2 linked regions of the Tamandua tetradactyla genome follow. The protein of the gene in region 2 interacts with the protein of the main gene of each other region in a pairwise test. Links are inferred from orthologs where the notes say so. Each region holds a gene or a part of one and is shown on either strand. Other genes may lie near its edges.

Evidence for each region.
Region 1: the proteins of TRAF3IP1 (region 2) and SFR1 interact in a two-hybrid assay, tested with the Homo sapiens proteins (2 studies listed by BioGRID and IntAct). The link is inferred for Tamandua tetradactyla from reciprocal best matches to the Homo sapiens genes TRAF3IP1 and SFR1.

The regions. Positions count from the first base shown.
Region 1 is NC_135339.1:66,210,160-66,218,053, forward strand, and holds the start of SFR1 (swi5-dependent recombination DNA repair protein 1 homolog), read left to right. Parts: upstream 1-4,890; 5' UTR 4,891-5,185; coding exon 5,186-5,209; intron 5,210-5,869; coding exon 5,870-5,986; intron 5,987-6,574; coding exon 6,575-6,985; intron 6,986-7,894. UniProt on the Homo sapiens protein: Component of the SWI5-SFR1 complex, a complex required for double-strand break repair via homologous recombination. Acts as a transcriptional modulator for ESR1.
Region 2 is NC_135329.1:214,818,549-214,825,953, reverse strand, and holds the start of TRAF3IP1 (TRAF3-interacting protein 1), read left to right. Parts: upstream 1-4,389; 5' UTR 4,390-4,439; coding exon 4,440-4,562; intron 4,563-7,405.

The DNA.
Region 1 (7,894 bases), on a different chromosome or scaffold from region 2:
ATTGAATTGCTATCTCTGAAAACAATTATCAGAGTGAAACAAAGTCATATATATATCTCTTCAAAACCTTTTGGAAAACAGCTGAGTGAAAATATGTACTTGTGAAAACTGCTTTTTTTTAAAAAAAGGAACATCTTGCCAAAGGTTCAAACTGATTCCTTTGGGAATCCTTAACTGCACAAGTTTTATGTTAATTATTCTATTAAAGGTCTGGCAGCTTTATAAGAATCTTAAACTTGTACATGCAGATTCAAAATATCCTATTCCAATGGCCCAGAGTTAGGCTAGGAAAGCATTTCAGACAATGCCAACTTGCAGTAATGTCTGCCTTTTTTAAAAACCTATGGGCAGTTTATAACTTAAAGATTCATAGGAATTTGCTTAACAAATGTGAATGTGATCAGTTACTGCCTTCCAAAACCCAAACCTATGTTCTTTGGTATCTCGGCTGCAGTTTGTTAAATGGACAGGCTTCCTAAAGCCTATGAAGCTCATCTTTGCAGACAAGAACAGAAGAAGCATTTTACCACTTCCTTATGAATAACAAAGTGACCAGCAGTAGCCTTGGGTATCAAAATTTAAAAACACATACACAGACATCCTAATTTAGCTTGTGCATATCTTCAGCAACATAGGAGTTGAGTTTTAAATATCCAACATTTATACAAAGGCATAGATATACAAATATCACAAAAGATGGTGTTTATAATGCTTGAAATTAAACATTTACATAATAATTAGCAGTTCTCGAGATGCTGACATCTAATTCCTCTTTTTACCAAATGAATACAGGGGTGACATATTGGAGTAAATAAAGGATCTGGGAAGGATGTGGCCCTGAGCAATGCTTTTATTCCCATTTTCTTTCTACAGTCTAACTCATCTATCATAACGTCCCACATTCAGGCTCCCCCACCCTCACAGTTATTAATCTAACCTGAATCAGTCTATTCTTCTCCAAGAGAACACACCCTATAATAGCAGTGAATCATAGACACTCTTGCTTCTCCAGTCTTTAATGGATTTGACAAAATGCCAGGTCTGGTGGAATAAAAGCCAGGAATTACAGATGAGGGTAACTCTTTAGGCTCTTGTTTGGTGTAATATCCTGAACATTTTATTTGCCTGGTATGGAAAGGTTTTGATCACATTAAGGTATTGACCCTATCATATTTCCATGTTCTAAGTAACCATCCTACTCAGTAAGACAATCTCTCAGGCATGCTAAATCAGGGACTCTTTTATCTTGGGATTGAAAATAAAATCCTCTCTTGCTTATTTTGGCTAAAGAATATTAAATAGATTATCCACAAAGGCCACCCTTTGGTAACAAGGCACTGAGAGTCTTCAACAGTGTCTACGAGTGAAGCAATTATGCATGGAATTTCATATAAGATTTTTAGGTAATAGAGAAAATAGAAATAGATTGTCAATTATCCTCAAAGGGAAATTTATGAAATTACAGAGACTAAAACATCTCTTTATTTGGTAGGTCTGATAAAATGTAACTTGAACTCATGGCAAGAGGAACCTACAGAAGAGTTTCTGAAGGTGATTTTCAACTTATACGCAAACGTCACAAAAAATATTAAAACCAGTTAAGAATTTAGCACATTATATTGTGTGTTATAAAACTCTATGAAATCTATCTAAAAAGTTTAATTTCTCCTTCGCATTATAAATCAACTTAATCATGTGGATTTTGCACAATTCCTCACCCAAGTAGATTTAATTCTAATTTTAAAAGTGTATTTTCATTATATGTTATTTTTCACAATAAATTTTTTAAGTGTATTTTCATATCCTTGTTTAAAAAATACCTATAGATGCATGATATCAAAATATTTTTCAATGCAGAAAAGCCAATGAATTGCATGGAATTTAGGTCACCTTGAGGTTACTGTTAAGATTTGAAAAATAAAGCTACAGTCAAGAATTAAAAAATAATAAATCTTGGTGGTGCAATGGTGGCTCAGCAGGCAGAATTCTCGCCTGCCATGCCAGAGACCTGGGTTTAATTCCTGGAGCCTGCCCACGCAAAAAAAAAAAAAAAATCTACTGAACTTTTTTTTTGTTTTAATTATGAACTTTTTAATGGTGGTTAAAAGATGAGTATGTGTGTAGAAAGAGAGGGAGAGAGGGGGAGGGAGAGAGTGTGTTCATTATTCTTTTCATTATTCTCTCCTTCCCATTAAAAAAGTAGTTAAAAAAAAGTCTCATAAAGATTTTAGGTTTATGTCATCACCCCACCAACAATAATCACAGACAAGAACAGAAGAAGCATTTTACCACTTCCTTATAAATAACAAAGTGACCAGCAGTAGCCTTGGGTATCAAAATTTAAAAACACATACACAGACATTCTAATTTAGCTTGAAATTAATTACTATTATCTTTGAATTCTATTGTTCTCTATTTGGTAGGGTAAGGATAGCTCACTGGGACAGTTTTTTACTCTCTTGAAAAAGTTTCATATGAAACATATAATATCCAGTGTCAGAAACACCGAACTGCTTTATAGACCAATAGATTTCAGGGCCCTTTAGGGAAATGCATCAAACGATACAAAGAAAACTACAGGGACAGATCTCAGATCCCTTACACTAAACTGAGAGGGGAAGGTTGGTTTCCACATTGGTACGTGAAGGGAGTAAGTAAACACAAATTTATATAAGGAGAGAGCATTCAGTTTTAACAGTGCATGGAAGTCAGAGATATAGGTCAACGAATGCACATTTCCGAAATATATGTTATTCTAGGTACTTATTGTGAAGTTCTTTGAAAATCTGGCCCAAACAATCCCATTTTAATATACCAATTCACTTAAAAATAAGCAAGTCCGAACACTTGCTGGGCAAGATGTTATTTTCCTTTACGAGCCAGCAAAAACACAGCTCTAAACTTAGGTTGTAATGATAAAAGGATTTGGGAGCAGCTGACTTTAGGGAATCATAAAAACAATCCACCCTTATGCCCCAAGGTATATAGAACATGCAGAGTCTGCATTGTGCTTCCAGTGCCAGGACAAATCGTTTTGCTTTTTGCAGTGAGATTACCTGATGCCAATGGGTAAGTTAAGAGAAATTAATGTACAGATTGAGACCTGTGGTCTCGCCTGGTGAATAACTCCAGTATCACAAAGTCATGAGCTCTCTTCTTTGACTTTGTAAATTCCTTCAGGTTAACTTTTATAATTAATGAAAAATTTAGAAGTGGAATTTGTGTTATTGATTATATAGAGAGACACCAAGATTTCTGCTATTTAGGGTTTAATTTGTGAGGGAATTTTCAGAACACAGAATCTTTAAAAAATAATGTGGCCTTATTTTGGGCAGTGTGAAGGAATGAAAGAATTGAATCAAGTAGGGAATGGTGAATATACCTGCATATATAAATTGGAAACTATTGATGTGTCGATGTCTAATGTTGCTCTAATTGCCTCTCAAGAATTCTCATTTAATCCTCCAATCCCTTAGGAGTAAGATACTATTATCCCCATTTTAAAGATGAAGGAACCTATCAATACACAGAGACTGTACATTATTAGGTTTAAAAATAATGGAGTCAGTATTTGAACCTGTGCAATTTGACTCCAAGGTTTAAGTCCTTAACCACTGAATTAGATTGTCTTCAGGTTCTGTATTTGGACTCCACAGTTTAGGACTCAGTTATTTCCTTCTCAGCTCTGACTACCTCTAAGCCATTATTTTGGAAATTACACTATAAATAGCAATCTTATCTTATTTTTGACAAATTTTACATAGGATCTGTATTTCTCCCTACATAAGAGAAAGTTTAAGTAGCACCAAAGAGCTCAGATATTAGTAAAGATACAAAATTGTCATTCAATAGAAGACTCAAAGCACTGGCCCCTTAAAATTCTCAACATTCACTTAACTCAGAAATTACTCTTCTCTCTTCCCCTAAATCCAGTGCTCTACCCAATTCAGTTAACTGCATTGTTGCCTAGCAACATAGGAAAGGAAGTGGATTATCAGAGACTAAGATTTGCTGCCAGCGCTTCAGCAAAGACCTCTGTGCCTCAAACATCCGAATTCTCGATCAATACCCTCCTATTTAGTGACTGACTGCTTCTTGTACAGCTCCACAACAAATTTCCTTGCATTAAAATTTCCCTCAGATTTGACTAAAAGATTTGAAGCCAGACTAAGGTGTCTAAATTTTCAGGTAGATACAGTATTAGACAACGTGGTGGCGAGACTACCAAATTTGCAGCAGCATAGGTTAGAAACTAGTTGGAAGTTCGCTAAGGCTCTTGGATAAATGTATAACATGTCGGATTCTCACTATGTCATGTAACCCTAAAGCTGCTCTTTCGAAGTCTCTGCCTTTGGAGAGTTTACACATCGTAAATTTAACACACAGCTGGGGGGCTATGTGTCCCGTCAAGTAAGAGGAAGAGCCTTTGCTGTGGTGAGCGAGAGACCAACTGGCGGCCAGCGGAAAGGGTGGCGCAGGGGACGACCACTCGTTCAGGCGTACTTCACAAAGAAAAGAAGGAGGCGGGGAGGGAAGGCAACTGAAGATAAGAGAAAGAAAGCGAATCTGTAAGAGGAAGCATGCCCTCTTCATAATCACTTAAGCCTTGTGAACCTCAGCCCTGCCCGGAACACCGAACCGAAGCTCACAGCAACGCGCGCGTCGTGTTGCGGCTCTGGGAGGCCGGGCGGAGCAGCGCGCGCCAGCCAACCCGGCAGTCACGTGTCCTTCCAGGCTCTCGGGTGGCCCGCCCCCTCTTCGTTGCCGGGCGGAATAGGTTAGCGCGCGCCGGCCAGCCCGGCCAATCACGCGTCTGTCCCGTATCTCGCGTGGTTTCGACCCGTTTTGGTTGCCGGGCGGAACGGAGCAGAGCGGGCCGGTTAACCCGGCCAATCACGTGTCTACCCGGTTCCTGGTCAGCTGGAGGCTTTCCGCCGCGGAGGCTCGCGAGTTCTGCGGGTTCTGGGAGTGGTGGAGGGCAGTAACCTCCTGGGCAGCAAGTGGTTGTGTGAGAGTGGGACTAAGTCCGGGGTTTGCTGTGGAGTCGAGTTAAGCCCCGGTTCTGCAGTCAGGGTACCTCACAACCCACCTCAAGGCCCGGCCTCTCGAGGGCTAGCCTGGTATTTCTGCAAGGGTGGGCAGGAAGGGAAGGACACCGCCCACTCGGTTCATCTTGGTAAAGTTGATGCCTTTGTTTGAGGAAACAAATGTCAGTCGACTCATTTTCAGGGTTTAGTTACAGTAAAATGATGCAGACGTGTAAATTTCCCTCTGCTTATGTCCCATTTGCCTCAGCCCTGGGGGGTCGTTGATCCCCCTCTCAGGGGTGGTGTGGCAGGTCTGATTGATTTGGGGGTCGAGATTTCGGCCGTGTTTCCTTTCATTATGAAGCTGTCATACTAAATTGAAGAATTCCTGACTATCCAAAGTTATTTTTCCCCCATATGTCCACCAAAGAAACGTAGGGTCTTTATTGCTAGATTTATTTACATAAATAATGTTTATTTCGTAATGTTTTTAATGTTTTGTGCCTATTTAACCCATGAGTGCAACATTTAGAGAACGATTAAGGAAGACAAGATGTGACAGAAGTTGGAGATATTTTTGATAAAAACAAACAGGGAGACTTGTTTAAATGAGATACTTAGCCAATTAATCTGTCATGAAAAAACTAGTAGTCACTTTCATGTGGAAAACAGCCCTGCAAAAGAGCAGAAATGAATTGCAACTAAATGAAATTAGAGGAAATTACTGGCTTACTTGTGGGTGTTATATACAAGAATCAAAATTTCTTTGATAAGAATTGCAGATTATATAGAGTTATGGATTAATTTGATTTCCGTTTTGTGGATATTTTTCATTTTTACAGGTAAACCAGGATTTCTTCTACAAGATGGAAAGTCCATCAGACTCAGCTGTGACGTTATCTACTATGTCACAGGACTATGAGGATCAGTCTCCCCATACCAATAGTTCAAGGCAACAAGTAAGAGAATATTAATTCTTCCAGTAAATCCATTCCATATTTCTAAGTTTTGGAGGTAGCAGCTTTAAGTTTACTGAAGATTATTAGTATAATATGTTTCATTAAAAGGTAAATGTATTTTATTAACTATTAAATAATTTTAGATTTTTCTCTAACATAATGTATTTGATCTCAAAATTCTCATCCTTAATTCATTTAGTTTCTCATTGGTTTATTACAACAGAGAAAGTTTAAATCTGTGCAGTAGTTATCATTATGAAAATCTTTGGTGGCAGGACCTAGGTTTTTCCTTTAATTTGTAACTCTGAAATGCACATAGAGTAGTTAGACAATGCTAGTAGCTCAACATATGTTTGTGGTTACTGGGATAAGCTTAACACTCTTAATGGTATTATTGATCAAGCTAAAGTAAAAAGAGTAAAACTAGCGGAGCTTCTGGGAATTAAAACAGTTTTGTGGTGGTTACTGTAAGCAAATGGAGACAGGAAGCCATCTATTGGTGTCTACCAGAGAAACGTAGGGTCTTTATTGCTTGATTTATTTACATAAATAATGTTTTTTTTTCCTTAATGTTTTGTGCCTTTTTAGCCCATGAGTGCAACACTTAGAGAACGATTAAGGAAGACAAGATCTTCATTTCATTCTTCTTATAGCGTGGTAAAACGTCTTAAAGTAGAGAATGATGAAAATGATCAGAACTTTTCCAAGAAACCAGCATCTTCAACAGAAGAAAACTGTTTGGAATTTCAGGAAAGTTTTAAAGACATAGACAGTGAATTTGAAGAAAGCACATATTTGAAAAATACCTTCAAGAATATCAATACATGTGAATCTAAGTCACTTGATTTGGGGTCATGCGTTGCTCTCCAAAATGATTTTGTGAGTGAGAATCACCCTAAACAAGGATTCAAAGAAGAAAAAACAAAATTGTTGAAGCAGGTTGAGGAGAAAGAAGACCTTCTTCGAAGGCTAAAACTAGTCAAAATGTATAGATCAAAGGTGAGAAGAATTTCAGAACTATTACATAATATTTGTTTTTATTTAAGAAATTACATTAAAGTAATTTCTAAAGTAGAAAATAAATTTAGTTTAGCATAAGAAGCAATAAGCCACATATCCAGAAATCTGGATTCCAGTAACTTTAACTCAAAAATAATTAGAAGGGGCCTCTAAACACCTAATAGAACATTGGAAAGTCTCACCTAAAGCTACTCACTTGATTCTCATTTAATGTACAATTGGAGCTTTTCTCTCTAGTTTCCAGCCTTGAGCAATATTAGAAATATCAAATGGTAGATGCAAGTACAATGGGAACAGAAGGGACAGCTGACAGTGAATAAGTAAAAAAGCTGAAAGTGGGCCAGAGAATATAATAAAAATTATCTTTAGTAGTGATATTGTGTTACCCCCCCCAAATAATTAAAATGTTCCAGGCATTCTGTTTGAAAATACAACAAATATGTATTAAATTTTATATTTAAATCCAGATAGGTTGAATAAAATCGAATTTGGGCACTTGGATTATGACTTACCTGGATAATTCATATACATGCAATAGCTCATTCTCCACTAGCAATGTGGAGTAAATGATGGATTAGCATGTGCCATTTGTTCTTTTGAATTTTTAGGATTTTTCTGAACATGACTACTTGAGTTTTATAAGATTTTGAATGTTGAAAATATCTTTAATTTGAATTTTGTGTTATTTTAAAGTATAGTTGTACTAGGAAAATAGATTTTTTAACCTATATTGTTGTAAAACATAAGTTTTACCCTATTTAATGAATTTTTTTTTCCATGAGGGGAGGGATGGCTCAACGCTTGGACCAAACACAATAACCACAGAATTCAAGTTGAGTGGCTTTGTAACCATTCTTATTTTTCTCTGGGTAGAAGGCCCATTCATTT
Region 2 (7,405 bases):
GATAGCTCATTCATTCATTCAGAAACTACTTATTTCAAAAGCATCCCCTGCCAGCTTTTTATTTTTCAAACGTTTTCTTTGTGGTATTTTTCTATAGTTATTCAGGCGGTTCTCTGTGTTTATGAATGACTCTGTTTTTTTTATGCTCTCTGCCTTTCCCCCCAGCGCTTTCAGGACTCTTTGGCGAGTGTGGAGGTGATGTAGGCCATGTAGCCGCTGCCTCCCAGCACCCCCCAACAGGAGGCTCCATCCCACGCCTGCTGCACAGAGGCCCTGATGTCCAGCGTCCTCAGCTGCGTGTTCCCACACGCGCTCTCCGGGGCGCGGGCTTGGCCCTCCCGGGGAGCCGCGGGCCCACCAAGGGGCAGTGCCCAGGCCGGAGGGAACGTGGTAGCCGGCGAGGCCCGCGTAGAACCCAAGCTCCCCAAGGCCTCTGGGTTGTGTGTCCACCCATGGCCAAATCCTCCAGGCCGGCTCCCCATGGGGCCTGCAGCCATGCCCCGGACCCCTCCAGACGCCCCAACGCGTGCACTGGGGCTGGGCCACTGCCAGGAGGCCACACGGCCTTATACATGGCATAGTCTCTCTGCCCTCCAGGTCTTCGAGGCGGGCAGGAGACGTCATTTCTCACTGGATGGCCAGAGGGAGACCCTCAGAGGCGCCACGCCAGAGGCAGGGGAGCTGTGGCGCCTGAGGGCCGCAGCGTCCTCATGGAGTGGAGGGGACCAGCCGCGACATCTTCCCTGATCGGCCCGCCGCGGCCACACTGGGAGCCCAAGTCCCAAGTGCGCCATCCCCTAAGCAACGGATGCCGGCTGGGGTCGGCCTGAGCCGGGGCAGAGGGGGACTCAGTGGTTGCTGACCTTGGCTACTGACCCGGAGGCCCTGAACACTGTTCTAAGGCAAGGCCTGCCCAGTCCCACCCTCAGAGCTCACGTCAGGTGGACGCGACTTCGGGGCCCGGGTGGCAGCAGCCCCTGGCCAGCAGCCAGCTTGCCCACGGGCAGCTAGCCTGCACTGAGGGCAAGGCGGGCGTGGCCCTGGAAAGCCCCCAGCCTTTGGCATCACACCCCAGGACCCCACACCAGCACCACATGAGGGGACAGCCCGGCTCTGCTGCCCATGGCCTGGGGAGAGCAGAGAAGCACCCAGGTCCCAGAAGCCTGTGGCGTCCCCGTGCCCAGCCGCTTGGGAACTGCAGGGCACAGAGAGCCTGGATGATGAGGGCCAGTGTCCCGGGGCCCGGCCCGTTCCGAAAACTTTCTGGGAGGCCTGAGGTGAGGTCAAGGGGAGAACTGTCGGGAAATTAACGTTTATTCCTGGGAAGCGGGATGCGTATCAGCTACCGGGGTGTGTGGACAACCAGGAGAAGGAGGGGGCTTTGGGCAGCCCTGGAGGGGCCCCCTTCGCGGCGACCACCAGCAGCCTGGCCTGCTCCAGGGCATTAGAGGGCCGGGTGCCACCTGCGGAGCCCTGGAGAACGGATGCTGAGGACTGTGGTGCCGCAGGAAAGGGGATGGACGCTGGAGGAGGGCAGCCCCCAGGGTAGAGGGTGGTGTTTCCTGAATGTCGGGAAGATTCAACAAGGCTGGGTCAGACAGAGGCACCTGGCCAAGGGTGACCTGGAGGTGGGGAGCAGGGGCAAGAATGGAGGGCCACCCAGGAGGGAAGCCACCCAAGGGTGCAGTGCCTGGAGGACTTTCTCCCGTGGACCCCAGGCGGTTCGGTGGGAGATGTTAAACTCCCTCCTTGAGGGCTTGTCTTCTTCTTGGGTGTTTCCCAACCTCTCTGGAACGTCTCACGCAGCTGGCCCATCTGTGTGGTGACAAGAAGCAAGGTTGATGCCTCTGGGGGGAGGTGAGCCCTGCTCCCCTCACCCACCCCTGCCCGGGTCCAGGATGTGATCAGTGGCACAGAGAGGGGTGGGCCCAGGGGCAGTGGACAGCAGTGGACATTGCTTACTAGGAGAGCTGTTCCTCTTTACATCCCGGCACCTAGACAGAAGTCAGCTCAAAGCCGTGATGCAATAGATGCTTGGTGACACTCTGTGGAATATTTTTGTCAAAGGTATATAAATGGACACAAAGCAAGTGAAAAATGCTTAAAATCACTAGTCATCAGAGAAATGCATGTTTAAAACACAATACAATACTGCTAGAACCACTACAATGACTGTAGTTAAAAAGACGGATGATGCCAGCTGCTGGCAGGCGTGGGGAGGAACTGGAACTCCTGGCCATTGCTGCTGGGAATGAAAAATGGCACAGTCACTTTGAAAAGAGTATGGTATATAGTTAAACATATTCTCACCACATTATCTTAGTTTGCCAGTTTTCTATGACAAATAACACACAGTGGGTTAGTTTAAACAACAAGCACTCATTGGCTCAGGGCTCCGAGGCTAAAAGACTTCCCAAATCAAGACATTGGCAGGGCTTGCTTTTTTCTGGAGTCTGGAGCATTACAGTTGCTGGCAAACCTTGGGCTTCCATGGCTGGCATCTCTGCCTCCCACCACATGACAATATGCTTTCCTTTCTGGCTTCTATGACTTCTGGGTTCTCTTTATAAGGCCAATAATATGGATTAAGTCCCACCCTGATTCAGCTGGCCACACCTTAACAAAAATAACATCTTCAAAAGGTCCTATTTACAATGAGTTCATGCCCCCAGCAATGAAGATTAAAATTAAGAATATGTATTTGTTGGGGGACACAATTCAACCTACTCTACCATACAACCCAGTAGTAGGAGTAGACTCCTAGATATTTATCAAAGAAAAATGGATTATATCCACAGAAAGATTTGTATGTGAATGCTCATAGTGGCATTATTCATACATAATCAAAAGTGAAAGCAATCCAAATGTCCATCAACTGGCAAAGGGATAAACAAATTGTGGTATATACATGCAGGGCATATTTATATGTTACAAAAAAGAATGACATATTGATACATGTAACAACATGGGTGAGTCTTAAAAACATTATGATAAAAGAAAGAATCAAACACAAAAGCTATGCACTGTTTTATTCCATTTATATGAAATTCTAGAAAAGGCAAAATTATAATGAAAAAAAATTCATCAGGGTTGCCTGGGGCTCAGGGTGGGGCAGGAGGAAACTTCTTAGGGTGCAGGAACTGTTTCCTACCTTGATTGTGGTGGTGGCTATCTGATTGAATATAATTACCAGAAGGTAACAAAATGTATCACTTAAAAATGGGTGGATTTTATTGTACATAAATAATACTTAATATAGAATTTAAATTAAAAAACACATCTAGATGCATCATAGTCAAACCTCTGAAACGCAATGGCAAAAAGAATATCTTGAAGGCAGCCAAAGAAAAAAAAGTAACTTCATAGACAGAATACAGTCAGAATTACAGCAGATTTCCTGTCTGAAACTATGCAAACCAGAAGCCAGTGGAGCAACAGCTTCAAAGTACTGAAAAAAAAACAAAAAATTATTTCTATCCAGAATTCTACATCCAGTGAAACTGTCCTTTAAATGGAAAGGTGCAATAAAGACTTTGCCAGACAAACGGTGAGAGCACTCATTGCCAGCAGCTGCGCTGAAAGAAAAATAAGAAGTTCCTCAGACAGGAGTGCGGTGTACCAGATGGAAGTTTGGATCTACACAAAGAATGAAGGACTTTCAAAATGGCAGAAGTGAAGGTAAATAAAAAGTTATTAAGGCATCCATTCGAAGAACTAGAAACCACCATAACGCTTCCAAGGTGCTAGAAGGATTTAGCGGTGAGCCTGCGCATGGCAGACGAGGCCCGCAGGGCCGACCACGGACCCCGCCGGAGCACAGCAGCTCGGCTCCGCAGGGTGGGCGGCCACGAGGTGTCACTGTGCACGCCGTGACACAGCCTCACCTGGCTGGGATGGGGGTCGGCTGGGCAGGTGCGCTGTCGTCCTATTTTACAGGACCATTCACGGGGTCTCAGAGCACACAAGGGCCTTGCCCAGTAAAGCCATAATCAGTAACAGGTGGAAACGGCGTTTCCCATTTCTGGTCTTTTGAGATAACACGCCCGCCCCCCACCCCTCCCCCGGAGAATCAAAGCCGAGGAGAGCCTCGGAACTTTGGGGAACCGCCAACCCAAATGTTGGCGCCTAGGTCGCCGTCACGCAGCGCTCGGGCCCCCGGTAACGCGAGGAGCGCTCGCTCTGCATCCTGGCCGAAACGGGGCGGCGGCCCGGGGCCCCAGACCCGCCTCCTTCCTGGGGGGGCGGGGCGGGGCGGGGCGGGCGGCGCGTCCGTTGCTAAGGCCGCGCTGCCCTAGCGACAGAACGCCCGGCGTCCTCCGCGCAGGCGCCGTGGCGTGCGGCGGTGCACTGTGGGATGGGACCCCGCGGCGGCCGGCCGGGGCGGCTGGGCAGCGCGGCGGGGGCCGGACCGGGCCGGCTGAGGGGCGCGGGGCGCCGCCATGAACGCGGCGGTGGTGAGGCGCACGCAGGAGGCGCTGGGGAAGGTGATTCGGCGGCCGCCGCTGACGGAGAAGCTGCTGAACAAGCCCCCCTTCCGCTACCTGCACGACATTATCACCGAGGTGGGCGCGGGAGGCTGGGGCCCGGGATCGGGGCCGGGCTGCGGGGGATCGAGGTCCGGCCGGGGCCTGGGCCGGGCACCAGCGGGCATGTGGCCTGCGGTGCGTGCGGGGGGCCGGGGCCGGGCCCGGGGTCGGGGTCGGGGTCAGGCCGGGGCTGGGGTCGGGACCGGGGTCGGGGCCGGGGCCGGGGCCGGGGCCGGGATCAGGCCGGGGCCGGGGCCGGGGCCGGGGCCGGGGCCGGGATCAGGCCGGGGTCGGGGTCGGGACCGGGGTCGGGGCCGGGGTCGGTGTCGTGGCCGGGGCCGGGGTCGCGGCGGGCGGCGCGCGGGCCTCGCGATGCTGTGCGCGGCCCTGGACCTGCAGCCCGAGGGGCGAGCGCTTGGGCTCGACCTGTTGGTCGCGGAGGCCCTGGCCCTGCCCCTGCCCTCCAGGTCTCGCCCACCCTCCTGTGCCGTCTCCAGGGAGCGCGCGGGCGCCCCAGGCCCGGCCTTTCCAGGCCACCCCTGTGTCTCGTCGGAGCGCCTGGTGTTCTGCTCGGCAGAGCCACTGCTGTGACTTTTCCCTCCAACCGGGGCGCGGCCCTGTGTGCTCCCCTCGGTTACCCCCGAGGCCTCGCGTGTGGAAGGGTCCCAGGAAATCCTGGGAGAACGGAATCCTTCCTTCTGTTTCTCTCCCTTTTTTCTTCCGCCTAGTTTCGCGGCCCACTGCAGAGAGGGCACCACATTTTGGATGCTTGGTCTGCACCTGTTGGAGGAAGTTGTAGGGGGACTTGAATGTTAGTATTTGTTGATGGTCCGCCCGGGACGATTTAAGTTGAGATTGGGTGTCTGTGTAGCTTCCCCCCACTGGATTTTGAATTCCTGGATGGCAGAGACTGTGATTTGTTTGTCTGGGTGACCTGCCCTGGGTAAGGTACATAGAAGCTGCCCCACAACATTCACTTGTAGAATGGAGTTGCCGGGGCTCCTGCAGCTCTCCAGAGTGTGTCTGCAGAGGGTGCTGCATCTCCATGGTGCACTGAGGGACTTGGGGTGTTCTGTGGGAAAGGGAATCGGTTGCCTCCAGGGCTGCGTCATCTGGCCTGATGTTCGGCCCACACTTAATTTTCCTCACTCTTTTCAACAGGCTGGTTGCTTTACCCTTCTATACATTTTTCTTTACCCGTCCTCCCTTAGCTTATAATGTGTACACCCCTGGGATGTCTCGGGGGTGAACATCCTACTTGTGCTGAAAAACTCTCAGAGCCTCCCCAAATCCCAAGCGTGGTCTTACCTGGTCTGCTCATCCCCCTGGCTGGGCCAGTACTTCCAGTGCATCCTGGACAGTGTTTGGGGAACGCACAAGCTGCAAGGAGAGCCTGCTGGGGGCTGCTATGCCCTCGTGGTCAGCACAGAGACCACCCCGTGAAGTCAGCAGGTGTCAGAGTGGTCAGGACGTGAGCCTGGCTGGCCTCCACTCTGTAGGGACTTCTCCTTTTAACTTTTATTTTCTGCATTAGTCCTGACCTCCTTCCCCCACCCCACCAAAATGTGGCCAGAGAAGGGAGGTGGAGAGAGTAGGCCTCGGACTTACCTTGCTTCTAGGGCACTTAGCCTCTTGCTGGAAAGGGGTTCAAATGGGAAAGGGAAGAGGACAGTTCAAGCAGGAAGGGACTTGGTTCCGTAGGAACGTCGTGTGCCAGAGGTTATACGTTCCGAATCAGCAGTGGCTGCCCTGCTTTTTCTTTTAAAGGTTTTTGCTAATCTAATGCCAAAATTAATTTCTCTACCTATGTGAAGATAACCATTTAGTTGTCACCTATTTGATAAAGAAGTTAGAATGATTGACATATTGGAAAGCATTTTCAGATAATAGCTGAAAAAGCCTCCTATGAAAATTCTTCACTGTTTGCATATTGGATTTAAGTCACTGTATTAATATTTTAGCTACAGCTAAACACACTCTCCCTGTTTCATAAAGCTAAGTGTTGATCCTCTGACATGACAATCTCTCATAGTTCACAATTATTGCTCCTACTTTTAACTATCAGCAAACTGAGAAAACTTCAAAAGGGACCAGATGAAAATATTCTGGAAATATTAAATGCAGAACAGTTCCACTTGCCTGTCAAGAAAAGCAATAACATTACTCTGAAGTAGTTTGGTGTGAAGTGAAAACGTATCTTTATTAATAGATGACAATGCAAAGTTAGTATTTGTAGCTTGATCGCAGAGAAGGAGCCAGACATTAGAATGGGACTGTCGTTTTTTGTTTTGTATATAAATCTTAAAGTAGTGAATGCAGTTTATAGCTGACCTGGGACGCATGCGTATGTAGGCATGCTTGTCCTCACTGCATGTGATACAGTCTGTTTTTGCTGTTCTGTACATGTAAGAGGCCATCTGTTTGGGTCCTTTTGTGCTTTAGAACCTTCCAGGACTCCTTGGGGCTAAAGTTCATGTTCCCTACCGGCTCTGAGGGCCATCCTGGTTAGGCCCCCAGCCAGTGGCCCTGGCCTCAGCCTCCTGCCGGCCAACTTCGTTGACCCTTTGGACAGGCTGGACCTGGCGGGGATTTTCTTTCATCCAGTCCAGACTTCCTAAGTGCCCCTCCTGCCTTTTCCCTTCCTGTGGAAGCCTTCGGGTCTCAGTGTAGACTTGGGGCCCCGAGGCACCTGCCTGCCCTCTCCTTGGTTCGGATTTGGCGTTGCTCCCGTGTGCTTCCCGGGAAGCAGAGCCCGCGTCTCAGGAGAGCAGGCATTTGTGATGAGTGTCCGCCTTTCCTCGCAGGGAGGCTCTAAGCTCCGTGAGGGCCGGGCTGGGATCTGGCTGGTTCCTGGCTGGCTCAGCACCCCACACAGGGAC